4 linked regions of the Bombyx mori genome follow. The main gene of each other region encodes a partner of the protein of the gene in region 2 in a complex. Links are inferred from orthologs where the notes say so. Each region holds a gene or a part of one and is shown on either strand. Other genes may lie near its edges.

Region 1 (4,656 bases), on a different chromosome or scaffold from region 2:
CCCATTTGTATCGGAACCTATGCGAAAGAAGATTTTTGCTCAGCTACATAATCTTAGCCATCCTGGTACTAGATCAACCATTCGATTGATCTCAGACCGTTTCGTGTGGCCTGGCATTGCCAAAGATTGCCGTTATTGGTGCCAAACCTGCGTTGCTTGCCAGCGAAGTAAGGTGACGCGGCATATAAAATCTCCACTTGGACACTTCTCCAGTCCTACGTCTCGACTGAAGCATGTCCATATTGACATCATAGGCCCTCTTCCATCTTGTTCTGACTTCCAATACTGCCTGACTGCTGTGGATCGCTACACTCGATGGCCCGAAGTTTGGCCTATGCACGGAATAACAGCAGAAGAAGTGGCGAGCACCTTTGTAGCCGGTTGGATTGCTCGATTCGGAGTACCTGCTGTCATCACTACCGACCAGGGACGACAGTTCGAGTCGGACCTTTTCAGACGCCTTACTAATTTATGTGGTACTAAACGTATACGCACTACTAGTTACCACCCTTGTGCCAATGGGCTCGTGGAGCGCATGCATAGACAATTAAAGGCCTCTCTGATGTGTTATGATGATTCGTGGTTGAATGCATTACCTTTGGTCTTATTAGGAATGCGTTCAGCTTTTAAAGAAGATCTACAAGCAACAGTAGCGGAATTGCTTTACGGAGAAACATTAACGCTTCCAGGGGAACTGTTAGTACCTCCCGGTCCTTCTGGTTTCGAGGACCCGACGGATTTTGTCGTAAAGTTAAGACAGCGTATGTCTAAATTGCGTCCCACTCCATGTTCCTCACACACTAAACCATCACCTTTCATATTTAAAAATCTTTCCACCGCCTCTCATGTCATGCTCAGGGAGGATTCGGTTAGACGTTCAATGCAACCACCTTACTCTGGTCCTCATAGAGTTATATCTAGAGCCGAGGACGGAAAAACGTGGTCGATTGATGTAAAAGGGAAACAGGTGACGGTCAGTGTCGACAGAATTAAGCCAGCTTTCGTCGAGCATTCTTTAGTAGATCTCGTTCCAGCCCCAGCACCGCGGGTTTCTGTGCCTCAACCAGCGCAACCGGATGCTACTAATGTCCCTTCATGTCCACTCGTGCCTTCGGCACCTCTAACTGCTACTCCTACACATACACCTCAATATACCACCCGGTCAGGTCGCAGAGTCCACTTCTCCAAACCTTTCGACCTATGATAATTTTTCTCTTTTTCTGCGGATTCTCCTTCTCCGTAGGGGGGTGGTGTGGCGTTTTATTATGCGTAAGCCGGAACGCACGAGATGTGGGAAAAAGGAGATAGTCTGTGCCACAATACCTTTTTTACCGCCAAATATGAAAAACATAAAAATAATTTATAATGAGTTAAATAACTAATTTAATGTAATTACTTTATGCCGCTACAACAATAAAATTAATATTGTTCCAACTGTGGTGTTAATTACATAAAACACAACCAGGCGAAATAAAGAAGGGACTCTATATGAGCTCCCTCAGGTACATTTTTTTCTATGGCTACTGCTATTTACGACTTACATACTAAATCTTTCTAAAACGTCAGACGTCAAAGCAAAGCTTTCAATTTTACTTTTGACATTACTCCCTGACGTTTTACGTTAAAAATTTGTGAAACGAATGATGGGGGTGTCACTGTCGTGTAGAAGAATCTGAATTTGTGTTCACCGTGATATTTGAGATGTTTAAAATAGTATTTAGAAGTTAAAGTGTGCTATACTACTGCATGATTAAGCTCATATAAAATGGCTACCCAGCCTAATGATTATACCGAATTCCCTACGGAGATCATTCTGAAACCTCTGGCTCTGATAGGACTATCTGGACTTGATGCAGTTAACAATGCCGTTCACAAAGAAATCTGGGACGCATTCGCGAATAACCGACGCGCTGATCGCACGCCTGTGAGATTCAAATTACTTAACAATACGTTTGAGTTTCCAGTGGTAAAGCCTAAGAGAAATTCATACGAATGGTACATACCTAAAGGCATACTAAAAAAAAACTGGATACACAAGCGTGTATCGCTAATACCCGCTGTCATAGTCATTTTCTATGATATGGATTGGAATGATACACAGTGGAATGAGAAAATTATAGAATGTGCATCCAAAGTCCAGTCTATCCGTGCTGCAGTAGAGGGACATGCTACTCGTGTGGCTGTAGTAGTCATACAAAGTCGGCAATCTCCTCCTCCTTCTGAGTACATGCTTGGAGCCGAGCGTGCCCAGGCACTTTGTGCTGCTTGTGAGATCCAGTCTAAATCCTTGTTTGTGCTTCCTCATGGTGATCACTTAATGGGTTATATAGTCCGGTTAGAAAATGCATTTTATGATATTGCACAAAATTATTACCACCATGAAGCAAAAAACATTAAGCAGCACAGAGACCACCTCAATAAAACAACACATCAGTATCTCTTTGTCAGACATCAGTTCAAACTGGGCTATCTGAATGAGTTGAAGCAGGACATCAATACTGCACATAAGCATTATGTTCATGCTTACAACAACCTGCTGGAAACAAGAACAGTAGATACAAACCTGCATGAAGTTAGAACAGTTGCTGGCTATATTAACTACAAACTGTGCAAGATACTTTTTGCATTAAATTTGCCAAGAGATGCAATTTCACAATTAAAATCTCACATTGAGAAATACAAAAGTAGAGTTGGTTCTACTGACCTACTGTTTGAACATTATGCGTGGCTAGCTAGACAGTACAGTGCCTTTGGAGAACTTTTTGATGAAGCTATCAGGGCTGGTCTGCCAGCCATTCAATCTCAGCATCCTGGGTTTTACTACCAGCATGCAGCTCAGTTTACTGTAAAAAGAAGACAGGCTATGCGCTCTCTTTGTGCTGAAGCATTACAGTATCCACCTGCTCCAGATCCTTTAGATGGTATTCTAGAATATTATGGTCAGCGACCTTGGAGACCTGGTCGTTTAAGTGCAGATCCTCATGACCCTCAAAAAGAACAGGCAGCTATCTTAGCTCTACAATACAATGAAAGGATATTCAATCATTCTACAATCATCATCAGCTTCCTTGGCAGTGCTATCTCACAGTTTAAGTCATTTCACTCTCCTAGAATGAGGAAGCAACTAGTAGTTGAAATGGCAAATGAATATTTTTATTCTGCTGACTATGGGAAAGCACTAACTTTGCTGACTCACATGTTGTGGGATTACAGGAGAGAAAAATGGTGGTATTTAGCTTCACATGTCTTGAACAGAGCTCTGCAGTGTGCATACCTTGCAGCAAAAATACAAGACTATTTACAGCTGTCAATTGAAGCACTCTCTAAAAATATCCAGGTGCCAAACAATGATAAAGATAGGATATTCAGAAATATAATGTCTGTTATACATTTAAACATTCCAGCTCCTGAACCCGACCTGCCATCCTCTTCTCAAAGCAAAGCTGTGGAATTGTGGCAGTCCATGATCGAAAAAGAGCCTTTGCAGGTTGCTGTGGATATGGCCAACATCTCCAGTTTTTTGGAAATCAAACCTAAATTCAAACAGATGAAATATAGAATGGATGAGTTAATTGAAGTGGAACTGTATGTTAGGCTAACATATCCAGCTGTCCTAGAAGTAAAGAAGGTGTATTTGACAATATCAAGTCAATCTGAGACTATTGAGATCCCAGTAACTGATGATATTAATCAGACCATAACATTAGAAGGGAGCAAAGTGAAAAGGTTTTTGTGTCAGTTCAAACCTAATCCCAAGGATGTTGGATCAGATTTACAGATAAAATGTGTATCTTTTGTTCTTGATTCTGAAAGGAAAAGAAAAATTATATTGAATTTTAAAACTGATGACAAGAAGTCAGAGTCAATTATACATCCAGAATTGTTACACTTCATCATGAGCCCTAAATCTGACTATGAATTTGATTGCATTGTGCCTTTGAGAGTAGCTTCAGTAACATCAAGAGAGTGTAAATGGTCCATTGAAGTTACAAATTGTAGTCCTGCTCTACAGGGAGAATGGTTTCCAACCACTTTCACAGTAACAAACAATGAGGAAATTGCTGTATCTAGTACAAAGATAGCATTATCTTTATTAAGTTCACCTGAAAATCCTAACCCTGAGTCAGTAACAGATTTAAGTTTGAAGGAAGGTGAAGCTCAGTTACAACCTTTACATATTTCTGTGGGCAATGTTAACAGATCAGGAACTCACACTAATACATTCTACTTAAAAACAAACAGAACAGCCACAATAACAGTTCAAATTAGAATATCATACATCATAGACCTTCCTGCAATCAAGAAACTAGAGTGCATGAAAGATTTTACATGTAAAATAACTGTCATCAAACCTTTTGAAGTAACCAGTGCATTTGTTAGTACAGACTTTAGTCCTATTTCTAAATGCTTTGTTGATGACCCCTTTATTGTCATGCCACAAATTAAAATTTTAAGTCCTTGGGATCTTTTAATAATTGACACAGAATTAGAGGTGGTCGATTCATTTAAAAATACAGACAAAACTAAGCCTATATCCTGCATCAGAAATCTAGAAGTGGCAGAGAAAAACATAGCTTCAGATGCAATTTGTATTCAAGCTAAATACAATCCTAAAGATAATCCAACTCGAGTTGGTTTGTACAACATAACTTGGCG
Region 2 (3,896 bases):
TAAAATAACCAAATTTTAGAGTTATGTAGCAGTCGTATTTCCATAGCCTTAGATGTTTGCACAAGAATGAAACAGCCACGCAGTACTCAATTTCTTTTCCTTTACTTGGAACAGATCATCCTTGTAGGCCCACCTGAAATTAGATGGCCGTCGGAGCCCACGGACATTACAACGTGAATCTTTATTACCTAACAGCAGTCGTACAAAGTGGAACTTATAAGTTCTTCGTGGCAGAAATAGGCAAGATCATGGATATATATGTCCCCTAAGCCCCTGTAACCAGTAATTTAGCCAATTAAGATAATTTTTTTAAGACGATGGTATTCCTTAGTTGTGGAAGTCATTTGTAAACATTACTTAAGTATGTAACATGTAAAGAATTCCTATGTTTCCTTGTAAAAATTGGTACTACTTTAAGCTGCTAATAGTCCATTCACAAAAGTTCGAAAAGGTAACTTAGTTGATGGAAGTCATCTGGCTAGGCCTCGGTAAACACTTAAACCAATTCGTCCAATTGTCGTCGCTAATAAGCAAAATAAAATTTTAATAATTATCGAGAACTCACCCATTTTCCCTTCTTGTTTCTTAGCGTTCCTCTCCAAGCTGCCGAAGTGTATCGGTGTAAATATGAAAGGTCCGTGGTGGGCCTTCGATTTAACAAGATGCGGAGCCCTCGCCGGAGGTAACGGCCTGGGTGTGAACCAAGAACAGTTCGGTACGTGACTGAGGTTCGCTGGTGGAATTACCTCGCCTGTTTCCAGCACGAGAGGAACCGGACCCCCTTCGCATTGCGCTGATAAAGCCTTGAAGGAAACGAACAAAAACTTTGTAATTCTAGCAACACTAACTTATCAATTTTGTATATCTTCAGAACGTTTTCATTTGTTACAAGTTACAAGTTTTTTTTTCTATATCAATTTATATAATTATACAATAGTATTTAATTAGTATCCAAATTGGTAATAATTTTTAGACTTCAAACACGTGTTAAGATAATTATCAAATGGTCTTGCATAGTTCCTTCGATGGCTGGGTTTATAAAATTATTAGAGGATGCAAGGAACGATCGGTTAGTACTTGAACGATCCGATAGATACCTGCAATTGTATGGCCAGATCTCGGTGTTCCTGCTTGGTCAGATGAGGCCACATCGTTTGAAGTAAAAACGTCATGTGCCTTGTCGCAAGAGCCGGGTGACCCATCCTACGGGCGGCCACAACTAGTTCTTGTAGTAACTGAATCTGAAGCGCTGGCCAGCCTTGCGTAACACAATTAAATTATAAGTGATATATGTTTCACAGAAATTTAGATTTTTTTTATAAAGATTTTAGGACCTGGTAACATGACCTTTAAGCCAAGTCTTATAATTTCTTCCTTTATTGTTTTATGAAGTATGATATCAAACGAAATGAGATAAGAGAGAAGCGAATGAGACAACGTTATTAATTTTTTAATAAGTTAAATAAGTTAAAAGTTATTAATTTAAAAGTCCCTTCGAATATAAATTCGAAATTATTCTTATTTTATATTCGCTTTTTATCCGTTTTATAAACGTACTTAAAGAAGTCTGCTATTAAAGTTCGCTAGTTTTTTAGTATTCTAGGCTAGTTATCAAGAAATCTATCTGCTGTAAGGGATCATTGAAATGAAAAATAATAACATCTGTGCGAAATACTTACCAACTTGGTGTTGTACAACGTAATTGGGATCTAAGCTAAGTTTGTGTCCTGGGAAGCTGTGCAGCATGAGATAGTAGCACCGTTGCCAATCTGGATTCGGGTTATTCGGACTAACCTGTCTCGTCGCCGCCAATCGTTGGCAAAATGCTGCTTTACGGAGGAAACCTAAAAAAATATTATCTCTACAAATTTTATCAACAAAATTACTAAATTTAATGTTTAACTCTAAAAGTCCGACTGGCGGGGCTTTTGTGAGTTCGGTATTCCGGGCTGTTGGCGAAGATGCTAATAATATGGAAATAATGTTGACACTGATTTGTATGAGGTTTTAATATAAAAGCGACACAATAACTAAATTAAAATAAAATACAAAATGAGTTGAAAACAGTACAGATAAACTAAGACTAACAATATTTTGCCGGTCGTCGTTGCGCGCGATGAGGGCGTGTGTTTTCGCGCTCCGAGAGCTCTGTCTCAGCGGGGGGTAAGGCGGCGACGGGGACGGTATCGCACGTTCGGATATTTGGTTCCGTTATAAATGTCATTATTTATTGATATATTAATTACCAGCTTTGCCCGTGACGTCAACCGCGTGAACTTAGGTAGTCGCTTGGAAGTTCATTTACATAAATCATGTTTTAGAACCATGGTGTAATTTAAGAAACTAACAACGCCATATATGCTTTATAGATAAGGTAAGCAACGGTAATTTCTTAAAATTTTAATAATTTTACCATAAATGGAGAATTCATGTTTTAGCTTTAATAAACAACAACAGTATTGATGAAGTGAAACTAAAAAGTTAATATCAAAATATATTCATTATAATTATAATTGTTTTTTGCTGATGAATCCGTGAAGCAGTAATGCGTTTCGATTTGAAGGGCGGGGCAGCCGTTGTAACTATACTTGAGACCTTAGATCTTATATCTCAAGGTGAGTGGCGCATTTACGTTGTAGATGTCTATGGGCTCCAGTAACCATTTTACACCAGGTGGGCTGTGAGCTCGTCCACTCATCTAAGCAATAAAAAAATAAAAAAAGAACTCTTCTAGCCGAATAAATAATACTTACCAATATCTTTATAAAGTTCGGCTAACGTGTCAAATCGTTGTATCTTCTCCTGTTCGCTCAGCGTCAAGTTAATGAATATCACGTTCTGCAGAAAGCTGGACGCGTGTAAACTATTATTCTGCTCAACCGCTATCCGGGCTGCCTTAAAGCAAGCCTCGGTTTCAATGATACCGGCGTTCTGGTACTTGCTGTAGTGGATTATCGCCTTGCGATACTTTTCCGCGATTTCTTCTCCATTCAACAAATATTGGTTAGTGATCTGCGATGGCGGTTGGCGCGGTATCGACGGTAGTTCTGTGCTTAAATAGGATTTGGGGCTTTGGTATTCAATATCGCTGGACGAAGCTAAGGATTCCGTGTCACCGTTGTCGGTCTCCGATTGTCTTGAGGACGTGTCAATGCTCTCTGAGGAAGTCGGAGTTAGTTCACTCGGTGGATTAATTGGACTCGACGTTTTGGAATTACGTAAGGGTGACGAATTCAGTTTGAACTTTCTAAATGGATCAGTTGGCTGGAAGAGAGACAAAGGCTTGCTTTTGCTCGGCGAACTTTCTTGAAGGCTCGCGTTTCGCTGTAGCGGTGTGGAGTTACGTAAATTCGGATACAGTAGTATAGCAGACGACGCACATAATCCTGCAACAACATTAAACTATAGTGATAGTTGTGGTTAAAATAAATTAATAAATATTAAAAATGTCTTTTTTTTGTTAGAATTGTTTATATTTTAACTAAATCTAATTTAAAACTAAATCAGTACCCGACGTCACTGATCAAGTGGTATTACTAGTCATCACTGGTAATGCTAGAATTATGATTGTATTTCACTAACGCACCACTCACTACCGGAGCCAAGGTCATTCATCCCTATTACATACAGTTCTAGCTTTTATCCTCAGCGGAATTGAAAAGATGGCTTATATTAGACATGCCACGAATATTCGGCTACTATTCTGTATTCGGCCTATTCGGCCACTTTGTTTGGTATTCGGTATTCGACCGAATAATAGGTACTATTCGGCCGAATACCGAATACCGAAAAATGACGGGCATGTCTCAAATCACGTTTGGTAAAAAACTCTAATCATGATTTTTGTTTATTATTTTCACTACAAATCTCATAATATTCCCATATGGTCGATTTTT
Region 3 (2,870 bases), on a different chromosome or scaffold from region 2:
TGTGGGAAACGGAACGTTTAGAGTGAAAGGGATGAATGTATGAGGAAGAAAGGGACGGAAGAGAGAAGTTCAAGATGGCGATCGGGCATTAGAGGTATGAACGTTTTACGACGTGTGCTAATTTATGAAATTTTGCTACTTTTCCAAAAGACTGTTATTTACTTAATCTCACATAATATATGGTCACGTAATTGTTTTTTCTAAAAAAAAAATATTTTTTATTGCATAGAGATGTGATCAAGCTCACAGTCCTCATGCTGTAAAGCGGTTACAGGAACCCATAAACATAGCATCTCTGACCACCCGGAACATATCATCATCATCATGCTTTCCTATTACCCTCTGCTGGGGTGTAGGGCTCGAATCAAATTTTTCCATTTGTATCGGTCTTGGGCAGTCTGTTCTAACTCCTCCCACGTCATGCCCGGAACATATAGACAAACACTAATTGTACTTTACTTTCTGTTGTTATTTATTGGTTCGCGCGGGTAGGTACGTCCACGCTGCCTATCTCTGCCGCGAAGCCGACGTGCGTTCCGATTTGATATTAAGACTGACCGTCTCGTCATGTTTTTTTATTTATTGATTAGATGGGTAGACGAGCTCACAGCTCACCTGGTGTTAAGTGGTTAATGGAGGCCATAGACATCTTGAGATATAAGTTCTAAGGTCTCAGTATAGTTGCAACGGCTGCTCCGCCCTTCAAACCGAAATCACTGCTTCACGGCAGAAATAGGCGGGGTGGTGGTACCTAGCCGCACGGACTCGCAAGAGGTCCTATCACCAGTAATTGATGTGTATGGACTCTCCGGGGTGGCGGGGTCACGCTGATGGTGGGTTGCGATGTCTGCAGATGTCCGACGCCCGACGTGCGCGAGTACGTGGACCTCGGGCTGGTGGCGATGGCTCAGGGGAAGTACGAAGACGCCTACAACGACTTCGTGAGGGCGGCCGACCAGGAACCCACGAACATTATGGTGCGGCTCGTTCTTAAACTCTACCGTTCGTGAGCACCCGTGAACATGTTACTTGAGTGATTGCTTCACTGTTGCCACACTGTAGTAGTCCTTGCATTCCCGATCCTGCGGACAGAATGGAAAGCAGTCGACGTCGCCCAAAACACGTCGTTTCGGATCCTCCCGATCTACTAACGGTGCTTTTAGGTACCTCAACCTAGTAAATTAACCCACAGACACAGCCCACTGAGTTTCTCGCCGGATCTTCTCAGTGGGTCGCGTTTCCGATCCGGTGGTAGATTCTGCGAAGCACGGCTCTTGCTAGGGTTCGTGTTAGCAACGTCATCAGGTTTGAGCCCCGTGAGCTCACCTACTAGTTAAGGTTACGCTGAAATAGCCTCTCAAGGTTATCTATCAGCTTGGGTAGGGAAAAAAAGAATGCATGTACTTATGTACGCGCGTAAGAAGTTATACTTTATTTTTATTAATGTTTTTTTTTATTTATATTTTAATAAAATTGAAAAAAAAGTCGATGAAACAACATCCTCAAACACGCATATGGGACATCACTTTTCTTGACATCGTATAAATTCGGTAATTCTCGGTACGGTTTGGAAAGTTCACCTGCGGCTATATTCAGACTCGCCAAGTTACGTCGGTCGTATTGTAATGAGCGATTTAGTGGGCGACTTCATTTCGGTTAATTTTGTGTCACGGTGCGCGCGCATCGTAAAATTTCACTCTCATCAATTTTTCATAACGCGCCTAAAGAAGTATAACTTCAAAAAACAAAATGATATATATGTACTTTACATTTGTGATCCCAGGTCGCGAACAACATCTCCGTGTGCCTGTTGTACATGGGTCGCCTGAAGGAGGCCATATCGGTGCTGCAGAAGGCGATAAAGAGTGACCCGGAACGCGGCCTCAACGAGAGCCTCCTCGTCAACCTGTGCACGCTTTACGAACTGGAGTCGTCCAAGACGAACGAGAAAAAGCTCAATCTGTTGCGGATGCTGTGCAAGTACAAGAGCGACACGATACCGAACGTTCTCGAATGTCTGAAGCTCGCGTAGGCTCTGCGGCTAGCAGTGAACACGTAAGCTCAACTAAAGACTTCGTCAAACAGGTGGCTTGGCTCGATAGGCAACGGCTTGGCTTTGTCCCTGGTATTTCTGAAGTCCATGGGCGACGGTAACCACTCACCATCAGGTGGGCCGTATGCTCGTCTGCCTACAAGGGCAATAAATACAAAATGAAAAAAAATTATACACATTCACTAGGACTCTAAAATGAAATTTGAAAAAAATTACAACGCCTAACGTCAAAGCGCCCTAACGCCGCGACATAGCGTTGCGTACTTACAGCGCTGGCGCTCTTTTTTTTTTTATAAGGGATTTTATGGCCCGGTAACTAAGACCTTTAAGTCATATCTTATTTTAATTTATATTCACATATTTTTATGAAAAATGATATTATGCAGTGTAATGAAATGAAGAAGCGCTGGCGCTCTGTATGACAGTTTGTTACCATAATAGTACAACACATCTCGGCGTCATAGCGTGGCGTCAGTTTAGCGTTCTGACGCGCGCTAAGTACGCGTTCTGTTTGACGAAGCCTTTATTCATAGCGTTAAAGCGAATAGTGATGAGCTAGAAACGGGATGATGTTCCGCTGAGTGAGACGTCATATGTGTGCCACGGTCAATTCGATATATGAGTCGTCTATTATCAAAGGTGGCAATCTGTGCATTTGGACAAAAAAATGTTATTGATATATCAATACAGATTGATTTGAATATAATCGTCTCCTTCAAAGAATACGGTTCAAAACCTGCATTAAATAAAGGTTAATAGTTAACCTGTTATTTATCTAAGATGTCGTTCCGAAGAGTTTTGTGACTGCCAATGGAAT
Region 4 (4,458 bases), on a different chromosome or scaffold from region 2:
GGATGGGATTATCGACAATCCGAACGGCCCTCTTCCGGAGTTCTCCACTGCAGACACAAGTTTTGATCGTCTCTCTTGCACCACGTTCCGAGAGAGACTCTGATGGCCGATATATCGCGCATCCTCCGTGCTGTCATCCGCATAGCAATGCATGCCATCAATAGACAGCATGTCATTGATATACAGGATGAAAAGCGTGGGGGAGAGCACCGAACCTTGTGGAACGCCAGCGTTAATGGTCATGGTATCAGAGCAGTCACCATCTAGAACGACCGTGATGCTCCGCCCATCCAAAAAGCTAGCGATTCACTTGCAGAGTCCCTCGGGGATTCCGTAAGATGGTAGCTTCGACAGTAGTGCCCTATGCCAGACCCTGTCGGAGGCCTTCGCGATATCAAGGCTCACAGCAAGATCCTCGCCCTTGCTCTCCAAGGCTTCAGCCCACCTGTGAGTAAGGTATACAAGAAGATCGCCAGCTGAGCGACCGTGACGGAAACCGTACTGTCGGTCACTGATCAGCTGGTGATCTTAAAGATACTTCAGGAGTTGTGTATTTATTATTCGCTGCATCATCTTGGAAAGCAAGGAAGTTATCGCGATAGGCCTATAGCTCGATGGGTCCGACCGGTTACCCTTTTTGGGGATAGGGTGGACGTGGGCGGTCTTCCATGAAGACGGAACCCTGTTAGTGCAATAAGAGAGGCGATACAAACGCGTTAGCGTAGGTGTCAGCTCAGGGGCACACGTTTTCAGAACCACTGCGGGGATGCCTGCCGTCTGGCCCACTCGACTTATGGACGTCCAGGAGTCTGACGCCTGACTGCACACTGTGTGAAGCAGATCTCCGGCAGGGAGCTATCACACCGGGGGATGTTCGGTGGTGTGGCACCCTCGTCGTCCACGGTCGAGTTCAAGCCGAAGAGTTTGACCAGAAGGTCAGCCTTCTCTTTCGTACTGTGAGCCAGTATCATCGGTCTTGCGCAACGGTGGGAGACTAGACCTGCAAAAGTTTCCTTCTGCAGCTTTGGCGAGCGACCAAAAAGCACGGCTCCCGGAGGGATAGCTGTTTAGTCGCTCGCCAACTCTAGCTACGTGCTCCGACTTCGCTCTGGCAATAACCTTCTTGTAGGACCTGGAAGCGGCGATAAATTTCCGCCTTTCCCCCGAGATGTTAGGATCCCGACGTCTTCTGGCATCATCCCATGCCACGTATGCGGACCGCTGGAGGTGTGCAGCATCCCTGTTGGCATACTGAGATTATATTTCGTCCCATATCATTTCATTTAATTTCATCCCAGTTGATTAATGTCTCAAATTCTTCATTTCATTTCACTCCATATTATCATTTATCATAAAAATATCCCATATCATATCATCTCATCTCATCTCATTTCAATTCATTTCATTTCATGCAATGCCATATTTCATATTAAATTAATCAGCTTCATTTCATTTCATGTCATACTTCATAAAAAAAAGATCAGGCTGTATGGAGAGATGTCCTTGCCTTTCTGTTTGGAAAAATAAAACTACTACTACATAGCATATTTACAAAATACAAAGTGATTTTTAATAACTTATTATATATTTGAAAGTGTTTTCAAAATAACATGTACATATTCAGTTAACTGTACATATTTATATTAAGCTATACTTCATTTATTCAGCACCCGCAAAAAAAACATTATCAAAAATGGCTAGAACTGGAAAAACAGCCCAAGAATTTATTCAGAGTTCGTTTTCGCCTATAGTTGCAGTACTATGCAGTCAAAAGGTTGAAAATATTGTGTCGAAAAATAATGTAACGTTTCCTGAATTATTACAACCATTTTGCAATTTGGATTGGGAAGGTAAACAAATCTTGAATACCTTCAAGTAAAACAACATCAGAACGCTAGTCTTTATTATCTGCCAATAATCTATCTTTCATACAGCTGCTTAAAATATGGGATACTAAAGTATTACTGCTTAAAAGCAGGGATACATTTTTTCATTATTTATTTTATATTTATAAAGAACACAACCATCACATGTAGAATTCAATTACATTAATTGAATAAATATATTTCTGAAAATACTGAGCCAGCCTTTGGTTCCACACAATCCATGCCATTCTATTAGACTCTTTCATATGAAATTGACTATCTCAATTTTGACTTCTACTATATTTTATAAATTATTAAAGATATTTAATTTCTCCCCTCAAATGGTTCCCTACCAAAGAAAAATTAAAGTATTGCAGTATTGTAGTAATGGCATTCTAGTATAAAATTTAATGATGAAATTTGTTGGTACAATAGTCAAATGGTAAGTTAATATCTTAAGAAACAATATAATATGGAATAGATTTACCTTCAATAAATCATAAAATTTAATTAAGAAAAACTGCATTACTCTTGCTAAATAAATATTGTAAGTAGTGAAGAAGTCAATCACACCTTTTATTTATATATACTAATATAATAGAATGGAGCATCGCCATTATAAAACATGATTTTTTTTATTTGTTCAGGTCAGTTCCGTGAACCTGGTGGCAATACTTGTGTCATAAAAAATATGAAGCTAATTGTGAGAGATGTGAACTGGAAACCCCTACAGCCTACTGAGGCTAGAAGACAGCTCAATAATGCTGTTCTTTATAATTACAATGACAAAACTATATCTGTTGAATTAGGTGAGCATTTAAATGTGAATTTTTTTATTGCTTAGATGTGTGGACGAGCTCACAGCCCACATGGTGTTAAGTGGTTACTGGAGCCCATATACATCTACAAGTTAAATGCGCCACACACCTTGAGATATAAGTTCTAAGGTCTCCGAATAGTTACAACGGCAGCCCCACCCTTTAAACCGAAACGCATTACTGCTTCACGGCAGAATAGGCAGGGTGGTGGTACCTACCCGTGCGGACTCACAAGAGGACTCACAAAACGAGCCAGCAAACTCTAAGCAGCTTCCTATCGTTTTGTTCTTTCCTTAAATGATATGAATTCTGTATATAAAGCCAACATCCTTTCTGGTTTGAAGGGTAAATCACCCATTGCATCAATGCAGCAAGGACTGATTTTGAATGTCAAAAGGATAATTCACCTTGTGGAACTTACAAACCGTGGAAACTTCTAAACAGTAGTTAGTTTACCAAAAATAAATAAACCATGCAATTCTAAAAAATACCTACATATTTATGTGTATATAAGTATCAAAATGCAATTTAATTTTAAAATCAATATTTTAAGTAGATTTTATAGTATTTGTCTATGGGTGATGAATTATGCTTAGTTTAGCAATTGAAGAGTGTTTTGATTTTGTTGAAAAACATTAAAATAACAATGAAAAATAATATTTTTTTAACACATATTTTAGCTGGTCGAAGTTTTTTAATACCCCAATCAACACATTGGTTTGATGCTTGGAGGGAAACATACCTAGATGTGCAATTTCCATCTGACCATGAATTCACAAAACATTTCCTGTCATGTATTATTGTGGGAACAACTGATGACGAAAATGTTGTGGACACTTTCAATGGCCTGAATCAACAATATGCCCAACTACAGAATGTAATGCCACCAAAATTGCCTAAATGGTTCAACAATTGTATTCTGAAAACATATTTACTACTTCATGATGTATCTGTTGTTTCAAAAGAAAGGTATGTTCTTTATTTCCGTCAATAATATAGATGGTCAGATGAGAGTGCGGCTCAACTGATGTTAGGTTCTTACTGAAATCCACCACAATGTGAATTCCGCCGCTGGAATGTGACATAGGTGTTTCGGTAGGCAGCGGCTTGGCTCTGCCCCTGGCATTGCTGAAGTCCATGGGCGACGGTAACCACTCACCATCAGCCGTATGCCCGTCTGCCTACAAAAGCAATAAAAAAAAAAACATAATATCGAAAATTATTTAAGTTAATGCCATTGTATTTTATTTATGTTAAAGGGCTGATGCTGTGTTTGACACGTTGAAACATGCTTTTGGACCTAATAGTTGTTTTATGCTTCCCATTAATTCTAAAAGTACGTCAGATGCTAATGTACCTGCAGATTTATGGAGCCAGTATATTAAGAGATCTCCAGATTCCACCGTATGTAAATTTTTCTATGACAGAATGAAACTAATTAAAATTTTTGGTAGGCAGTGACATGGGTTTTCCCCTGGGATTGCTAACGTCCATAAGCCACAGTAACCACTCATCATCAGATGGGCTGTCTGGCCGTTTGCCTATCAGGGCAATAAAAACATAATTAAATTACTATTTATCTAGATTAAAATAAAGTGTCCAAATAAATGAGAATTAGGTGTGACAAAATTATAATATTCAAAAAGAAACGTGGTAAATGCAAATATAAATTATAAATTTGAATTAAATGCAAAGACAATATAGCTTCTTAATACTATAACAAAAATATTAGAATAGTTTTCTTTATTTAATGTAACAAAACCAACCTAGCGTGA

The links.
Region 1: protein brunelleschi (region 2) and trafficking protein particle complex subunit 11 share a complex: the UniProt entries of both Homo sapiens proteins name them as parts of the multisubunit TRAPP (transport protein particle) complex. The link is inferred for Bombyx mori from reciprocal best matches to the Homo sapiens genes TRAPPC9 and TRAPPC11.
Region 3: protein brunelleschi (region 2) and trafficking protein particle complex subunit 12 share a complex: the UniProt entries of both Homo sapiens proteins name them as parts of the multisubunit TRAPP (transport protein particle) complex. The link is inferred for Bombyx mori from reciprocal best matches to the Homo sapiens genes TRAPPC9 and TRAPPC12.
Region 4: protein brunelleschi (region 2) and trafficking protein particle complex subunit 8 share a complex: the UniProt entries of both Homo sapiens proteins name them as parts of the multisubunit TRAPP (transport protein particle) complex. The link is inferred for Bombyx mori from reciprocal best matches to the Homo sapiens genes TRAPPC9 and TRAPPC8.

What each region holds. Positions count from the first base shown.
Region 1 is NC_085125.1:14,660,179-14,664,834, forward strand, and holds the start of trafficking protein particle complex subunit 11, read left to right. Parts: upstream 1-1,576; 5' UTR 1,577-1,765; coding exon 1,766-4,656. UniProt on the Homo sapiens protein: Involved in endoplasmic reticulum to Golgi apparatus trafficking at a very early stage.
Region 2 is NC_085109.1:9,240,746-9,244,641, forward strand, and holds part of protein brunelleschi, read right to left. Parts: intron 3,387-3,896; coding exon 2,754-3,386; intron 1,845-2,753; coding exon 1,680-1,844; intron 1,259-1,679; coding exon 1,098-1,258; intron 804-1,097; coding exon 566-803; intron 1-565. UniProt on the Homo sapiens protein: Functions as an activator of NF-kappa-B through increased phosphorylation of the IKK complex. May function in neuronal cells differentiation. May play a role in vesicular transport from endoplasmic reticulum to Golgi.
Region 3 is NC_085126.1:10,491,072-10,493,941, reverse strand, and holds part of trafficking protein particle complex subunit 12, read left to right. Parts: intron 1-853; coding exon 854-977; intron 978-1,783; coding exon 1,784-2,032; 3' UTR 2,033-2,870. UniProt on the Homo sapiens protein: Component of the TRAPP complex, which is involved in endoplasmic reticulum to Golgi apparatus trafficking at a very early stage.
Region 4 is NC_085111.1:9,714,564-9,719,021, forward strand, and holds the start of trafficking protein particle complex subunit 8, read left to right. Parts: upstream 1-1,509; 5' UTR 1,510-1,693; coding exon 1,694-1,850; intron 1,851-2,512; coding exon 2,513-2,674; intron 2,675-3,363; coding exon 3,364-3,652; intron 3,653-3,942; coding exon 3,943-4,087; intron 4,088-4,458. UniProt on the Homo sapiens protein: Plays a role in endoplasmic reticulum to Golgi apparatus trafficking at a very early stage. Maintains together with TBC1D14 the cycling pool of ATG9 required for initiation of autophagy. Involved in collagen secretion.